Linked DNA regions of Zea mays. The protein of the gene in region 1 interacts with the protein of each later gene in a pairwise test. Links are inferred from orthologs where the notes say so. Each region holds a gene or a part of one and is shown on either strand. Other genes may lie near its edges. The genes, in order: chitin synthase homolog 1; Putative septum site-determining protein minD homolog, chloroplastic-like.

What was found.
Region 2: the proteins of chitin synthase homolog 1 (region 1) and Putative septum site-determining protein minD homolog, chloroplastic-like interact in binary tests that used the Arabidopsis thaliana proteins (3 or more experiments, as listed by UniProt). The link is inferred for Zea mays from reciprocal best matches to the Arabidopsis thaliana genes MINE1 and MIND.

What each region holds. Positions count from the first base shown.
Region 1 is NC_050105.1:18,841,113-18,845,427, forward strand, and holds the start of chitin synthase homolog 1, read left to right. Parts: upstream 1-1,449; 5' UTR 1,450-1,502; coding exon 1,503-1,610; intron 1,611-3,892; coding exon 3,893-4,315. UniProt on the Arabidopsis thaliana protein: Acts as a topological specificity factor during plastid division and specify plastid constriction sites (such as the Z-ring) in a MCD1-dependent manner. Especially involved in epidermal plastids division in a FTSZ1-dependent manner.
Region 2 is NC_050101.1:65,402,011-65,405,834, forward strand, and holds part of Putative septum site-determining protein minD homolog, chloroplastic-like, read left to right. Parts: intron 1-3,438; coding exon 3,439-3,824. UniProt on the Arabidopsis thaliana protein: Together with ARC3 and MCD1, regulates FtsZ ring positioning in chloroplasts in an ARC6-dependent manner. Calcium-dependent ATPase required for the correct placement of the plastid division site. Inhibits FtsZ filament and ring formation in the plastid.

The DNA.
Region 1 (4,315 bases):
TATGCGTTGTTAGGAGAGAAGGGGACATGCACATAGGCATCGATGGTGGTGTCACCATAATCCTGCACGCCACCAGCGTACCAACCTAAGTACAAACACACACACACATGTCGCACTCGAACATGCACTCGACACAACACAACACAACACAACGTTGTCACTACAGGACAAATCCAGCACTCCCCGAAGCAGAAAGACCGCGACCCAAAGCAAGCTCAAGCTCCCCTCTTCGGTCTCCACCGCTCGCCAACCTAGAGATATACCTCCCTTCCTACCAAAGCTTTGTCTCTAGAAGACTTCGTTGGCTCTTCCCTCGACGCTAGTGGTTGTCAGTGGTGATGGCTGGCTAGCGGGGGTGGTGGTGTTGCTGGAATGTCCACCGCGATGGTGACTGCCGCCCGCCTTCGCATGCCACTGCCAAACGGAGCCCACTACTCGGCCTTCTCGAGCCGACACCTCTTTGATTGCCACCGCCACTAACAAGCGACCACACGTTTGGTGCCCCATGGATGCCTTGTCCCACCCTGTTGTCGTCATCGACAACGACACCACGGTTGCTCATGAGTTGGAAGTGAAAAGGATTCTACAACTTTTTTGGTGTTAGGGTAAGAATTAGTGGCATGCTAAAATAATGGAGAGTGAAAATAAGATCGAATCAAAGTTATTGATAAGTGTTTCGGTCCAAAAAAACAAATGGGCTGTAAATAGATTTGATTTTTTTTTGAAAAACATTGAAATTTTTAAATCCTTAAACCAAACACGCAAGTAGTTGGCCTGACCAATCTAACTGTGGAGAGATTCTGAATATCGTGAAAATTACGTTTGGAGGAAGATAAAAAAGTCTATAGAGTTTATGATTTTGAAAGTGACAGTTTACTACTATCGCAACAAGTCGGTCGATTATATATTCACATTGATTTTAGACAGTTTTGGCTAAAGTGATTCTTATAGAAGTTAGACTCTCTTTAGTTTGAGGTGATTAAAATTTAATGACTAGACTTTAGTCACTTTTAGTCTTAAAAAAATAAATAGTGACTAAAGTAAGGTGACTAAACTTGGGTTAGAGCATGTACAACCTAGACACTGCTGCACGGTACTCCAAGTATAAGGCACAAATAAAACACAACATAATACAGTGGTCATGTCTAAAACATGTGTCTTACCATATTCATTGTAACAATCAGAACATTCAATAAATTAAAGTGATCAATCAGCTAGTCTCCTGTCTCAAACATAGAGCTAAAACACTGTGTCTTCGTCAAGATACATGTCTTGAGTTTTTTACATTCATCCACTAGACACACTCTGAGACACAATTTAAGACACCCAACCTTACACAGCCAAATCGCACAAGCGAGCTGGTGGCACCAATGCAGCCGTTCCAACTTCCTTCCAAATTCCAACGAGAGTCCAGTCTACCAGCCTCCAACACTGAGGACAAAGCGAAAAGAAAAAGGGGAAAAGGGGCTGGTGCGCAAAACCCTAGCACAGTCGCATCCATCATGGCGATGTCCATCTTCGGCGGCTGCGTCGGCGGCGACTCCGGTGCGCTCATCGCGCCGTCCGCGTCCTCGCTCCGCCCGCCGTTCCGTCTTGTCGCTGGTCCCAAGGTTCGGACTCCTGCTCGGCTGCTCCCCGTCCCATAAACCCTAGCATTTATTTAGTTTATCCTGCGTGTTTGAGGTGGAATTAGTACGAGTATGCGGCTTTCGATTGGCTCGGGAGGCCCAGTTTTCTGCGGGGAGATGCTCCGGTAGGCTGCTGGAAGTCCGCCGTGCGGTTGTTACTCTTCGGCGTTTGTGCATGCCTCTGAAGGTCCGATGGGTGGGTGAGGCTGCCTCGTGTCAGTCTGACGAATGTGCGAAGTGCATTTTTATGTTGATTGGTAGGCTAAATGTTCAAGTGCATCTTAGGAACTGGGAATGGAGGAATTAATTTGACAAGACAAAATAGAGATTTAGTGCCCACATTGGTGTGAGGTAGGCCCATGGAACACTTGCATTTCTGGAAAACGTTAAGGCCCTCTTTGAGTTTGCTTGCCCCAAACGTTTATTAGCCCCAAATGTTGAAGCCCCAAGCAAAATAATAAATGTTTAAGGCAAGCAAAATAATGACCTGTTGCGACCTTTCACTTCAAGCCGTCTGTCTGTTTTCGTTTGGTTCGTCCGGGGTTTGCCATGGGAAGTCGGAGCCACCGGCTGCTTTTCAATCTAGCTTGGAAGCGATGACTCATGGCAGTTATGTGTGCTCTTACGCGTCGTGTTGGTGGGTTAGCCCTTCGTGTGTTCAGTGTTTGCTCCACGTTGGGCTACCTTCTTGTATTTGTTAGATTTTGGGCCCGGTTTTTCCTTAAAACAGGGTTAATTCCATTCTTAATTGAGAGGCGGACCATTACGTTCAAAAAAAGGTTTGCCAAACCCTACCGGAGGGGAGAAGCTCTTTTTTTTTGTACTAGGTTGGTGAAGCCACCTAAATGTGGCTGCTCCAGATTCTGTCTTCTTAGATTAGTTGTTTGCAAAGAAGCCCGACCAAACATGGCCTAAGGATTACCTGTACTTTTAGATCTGCATTTTTCCTAGATTTGACATTTTATTATTTTGCTTGCCCCAACATTCTTGGGATGTACGTTTTTTGGATTCTAAATATCTGGGTTGATATGTAAGCATCATGTCATAGAAAAGAGGTGTCGTGTACTGATTGTCCTACCATGAATAAGTGCCCTGTATTTGATTTTTAGGTGAAAGGATCTTCTCGTCATGTTTTTATGTGTTGGCTTATATGTGCAGCTTTTGTATCCCATTTGATGGTTCTGCCCAAACTCAAAGTCAACCACTTTGTCTCCTTTCGTATTGGTCTTCTCCATAGCAATCAGTTATCAGTATATGTGATGTGTAGGCTAATTGCTAATGTATTGTAAAAAAATATAGAGTTTAGTCTGACAAAGTACCTGTAATTTTAAATTGGCAGTGGTTTGATTCCTATATTTCACATGGGTTCCCTAAGCTTGTGAGGTCGGTGTGTTTGTTATAGTGCTAGCAATATTAGCCTTGCTTAATAATACCAGACTGTCTGATTTCCATGTCTAGGTTTGCTTGGTACTGGCCGATTTTTGGGCTGTTCTTTATTTTCCTTCCCTTTGTTCTGCCTCCATCTCCTATAGTATGGTTATCTCGTTTCATACTTTGCAAATATCAGTATTACTGACACTATCCAAACCGGATGATTCCTTCTTTTCTTTCATTGACATGTTTTTCATAGTACAGTACTACATGGTAGATCTAGAGGGTATGTTGTTGGATAGGTAGTTAGAAAAGAGGAAAATCTGTATGTATAATATTGTGTATCATGTTCCTTTCAATTTCTTTGATATAAACCTCAAGTTAAGCATCGTTTGTTTTCAGTGCTGAAATGAGAAATTGCAACATGAGAGTAGACTGGCTTTGTCATTAAGATTTATAAGAGAACTGAGGCTAACTTTGTGCATATATGATGCATTCACTCGATCAAATGTGGTTTGTTTCCGCCCTGTAGTTATGTTATCATTGCTCTATTAGGTGTCTTTCTGTTCATTCATTCGATCAAATGTGGTTTGTTTCATGTGCATATTTCTTCAGTTTACAGAAGGCCTGAATGTATGCTTACTCATGCAATAACTCAACATACATGTGTGTGTATTTAAACAACTAAGCTAGTGTGGTTGTGCCACTCGCTGAACTGTTACAGTATACGGATCTGACGTTATTCAAATTACTGCAAGTCTCAGTATGGTGAGTTTAGGATTGGCAGTTGGATCTTACTGGGATTGCACTAGCTTTTGTACCATGATGTGCTCTTAGCATGTTTGCAATGAATATACTGGAATTCATACCATTTTAGTTGTGTCATGCTACAGGGCCATTTTTGTACTTTTCCTCATGGAGCATCTAGCAATCACAGCCGGCTATGTGTTCAACATCAAAGGTGTTCTCGCAGCTCCACCCAGAACTATGCTCTTTCTAGGAAGGATTTTTCTCCTATAACTCAAGATGTGGAAGGCTTCCTTCACAATGTTGTTAACATGGGTTTTCTTGACCGTCTGAAATTAGCGTGGAAGATAATGTTTTCTGCACCAACCACAAAGGATACCTCCAATGCAAACATCGCAAAACAGAGGCTTAAGATGATCCTGTTCTCCGACAGGTGTGAAGTCAGTGATGAGGCAAAGAAAAAGATCGTGGAGAACATCATTGAGGCACTGTCTGAGTTTGTTGAGATAGAATCAAGGGATAACGTCCAAGTGGATATCTCAACTGATGCTGGCCTTGGCACCGTGTAC
Region 2 (3,824 bases), on another chromosome or scaffold:
CATCAGCGATCCACCAGAGGTGCCTCCCCCACTGCCACCCATGCTTCACGGGGCTGTGACTCCAAAACCGGAGCCGCTGTATGCTTCTGCTTGGCGCGCGGTGTCCGCCAGGTGCTCATCCACTGGAAGGGTCAGTCCGCTGCGTCTGCAACTTGGGAGGATGTGGCTGATTTCTGTACCAGTGTTCTTAAGGCGTCGCCTAGGCGACGCCTAGGCGTCCAGGCGCCCGGGCAAAACTGGCCGCCTTGCTCGCCATACCCGCCTAGGCGTCGCCTAGGCGCCGCCTAGGCGCTAAGGCGGTTGGCTGGTGCACTTGCTCGCCTAGGCGCCGTAAGAACACTGTCCGTGACAAGTTTCCCCATTTTCAGCTCGAGGACGAGCTGGACGTCGAGGGGGGGGGGGAGAGATGTCATGTATGGGCAAACGTATAGGCGCCGTCGTGACATCACGAGTGCGGCAGAGCGGGCTGCTCACGCCACACAGGAAGGTGCCACCGTTAGTGGCCAGATTTAGAAATAAAAGATTAGTTTCCTTTCCATACCTTAAATCTAGGAGTGATTAGTTGAGATTAGTTTCCTTTCCATGCCTTAAATCTAGGAGTGATTCGACGTTGTTAGGTGCTGAGGCGCTTGACATGCAACTAATCGATTTTAGCGTTTCGGTGTCTTTAGTATTAGCATATATAGAAAATTATAAAGAAATGTAATCAACGACTTACATTCGACTAGTCACGACTAGTCAGTAACTACACGACTCCGACTCGAAAACATTGATATATATATATATATATATATATATATATATATATATATATATATATATATATATATATATATATATATATATATATATATATATATATATAGGGTAGGTATAACGGGAGCCCTGGGCTTCCAATAGTTAAAGGAAGCCCAGGCCGATCACCCCTGCAAACTGGTTCAACCAGCGCGCCCAAACAGGCTGTCGGGTGCGCCACCTGCCCCACGTCTGTTAGCGCAAAAAAGGAATGCATGCATGAGTCAAACACGATCCAATGCATGCGCATAAATTTAGGAAAGATATGTGCGGCAGTTTCTGTTTTTAAAATCCTTTATTTCCTCCATAAATTTAGGATCGCTACAACAGCCATGCAGCTAGACGCGTAAGGACCATTTTATGATATATACTGAGACTAAATATGCTACACTGTGTTAATAATTATGCAATTCGATATACTGCGTAAAAATCTGTTACCAACTGCATGCACACGAATTTATGATAAAAATAATGTGCAATGAAAGAAAATGAATTACACGCATAGAAACAAAAAATCGTATTTAATGTTTTATTTCCTTCATAAATATAAGATCCCTCCAACAGCCATGCAGCTAAAACACATTAAATCTAGTTTATGATATATACTGATACAAATTATACTACATGGTGTAGGTATTTATGCAATTCGTTACACTGCGTAAAAAATCTGGCATGTTGTTCACTGGTGGACGCACCTCCGGGTTGGAGCGTAATAACCTTAAGTTTTGAGCATAAAATCCCTCAATTATAAGCGTATATACCGAGCCAATATGAGAGGTTGATAGCTCTAGTAGGTTGTTATTACGATCCTATTTTTATGGCAGATCCGAAAAACATGGCAGTCGCATGCATGCGGTTATACAGATCCTAAAATTATGGCAAAATGCATGCATGAGTCAATCACGTTCCCTTGCATGCGCGTAAATTTAGGAAAGATATGTGTGGCGGTTTCTATTTTAAATGCTTTATTTCCTCCATAAATTTAGGATCGCTGAAACAGACATGCAACTAAAACTCGTAATGACCATTTTATGCTATATACTGATACTAAATATGCTACACTGTGTAGATAATTATGCGATTCGGTATACTGCGTAAAAATCTGCAACAGGCTGCATGCACACGAATTTATGATGGAAAGAATATGCAATGAAAGGAAATGAATTGCATGCATAGAAACAAAAAATCGCATTTAATATTTTATTTCCTTCATAAATATAGGATCCCTCCAACAGTCATGCAACTAAACGCATCAGAACTAGTTTATGATGTATACTGAAACAAATTATACTACACGGTTTAGGTATTTATGCAATTCCTTACACTGCGTAAAAAATCTGGCATGTTCACTGGTGGACGCATCTCCGGGTGGAGCGTAAAAACCTTAAGTTTTGAGCATAAAATCCCTTAATTATAAGCGTAAATACCGAGTCAATTAGAGGTTGATAGCTTTAGTAGGTTGTTATTACGATCCTATTTTTATGACAGATCCGAAAAACATGGCAGCCGCATGCATGCGGTTTCTATTTTTATACAGATCCAAAAATTATGGCAAAATCGTGGGAGTTTCCATTGCATGCGCGCAAATTAAGAACAACATAAATCAAGGAATTGTCTTTCAAATGTGCATGCAGTAAACTGATATACGAACTCTGTGTTAAAGCATAAAAACATACAGTTTTTAGCGTAAATAATACATGTGGTAGGCATAAAACACAATAAACGAAAAGAAAAATGCGCCGGATCAGAGGATGTCACGCGCGATCATCGCTGCGCGCATCTCGCCCCTTCCGTGACATCGCTCGCTCGAACATCGCGCCTCATGCGTCGCCGTCGCTACTCGCACGTCGACGGGCGTCGCTTGCTCGCCGGCCTTGGAAGTGCCGCCTCCTCGGGGCTTCGGGGACGCCGCCGCTTGCCTGCACAAGAGCCTCGCTGCGGATCGAGGAACCTCCGCCACCGCGCGTCGAGGTAATGGAGTTGCGGCCACCGGGCTGGGAATCGCCGCCACCACACAAGGGCGCTGCCGCCGCTCGCCCTCTGGATCGGGGGCCGCCACCGCTGGCCTGGAAACCGCCGCCATCGCATAAGGGCGCTGCCGCCGCCGCTCGCCCTCTGGATCGGGGGCCGCCACCGTCGGCCTGGGAACCGCCGCCACCGCCGGCCTGGCAACCGCCGCTAATGAATCGAGATGGGGCGTAAAAACTGATCCCTAGCACTACGGATTTTCTTTTATAGACGTCTGGACCTGGTTCGGCTCGACCGGATTGCACTGTCTGGCCTGGGCTTCCAATAACTAAAGGAAGCCCAGGGCTCCTAATATACAATATATATATATATATATATATATCCCCTTGGACCTTGGATTCATTGGGATGCTGATGCCAAATATTATAGTTGTCCCACATTTGTTCCTGTTGCTTGCTACAGACGAAAGGATTCCGAGCATATGATGCACTTGGCATGATTTCCATGACTATAGTCCATACTTATAATGGGATTATCAGATTTCTCAAAATTGGAGCCATTAGCGTGTAATAATATTTGTGTTAATGTGATTTGGATCCATTTACCAAGGTTTTAGTTCTGACCCATGGCATAGAAACTGTGTTAACTACAGCTGCTTGATGTTTTGTTTTGCAGGTGTTGATGCTGGGTTTGTCACTGCCATTGCACCCGCAGAAGAGGCGGTGCTCGTTACCACTCCCGACATTACGGCTCTCCGCGATGCTGACCGTGTCGCGGGACTGCTGGAGTGCGATGGCATCAAAGACATCAAGATCGTTGTCAACCGAGTGCGGCCAGACCTGGTGAAGGGGGAGGACATGATGTCAGCGCTGGACGTGCAGGAAATGCTCGGGTTGCCTTTACTAGGCGTGGTGCCAGAGGACACGGAGGTGATCCGGAGTACGAATAGGGGCGTGCCGCTGGTGCTGAATGACCCGCCCACGCCTGCTGGCCTTGCTCTGGAGCAGGCTACTTGGAGATTGGTGGAAAGAGATGCGATGACGGCGGTCATGGTCGAAGAG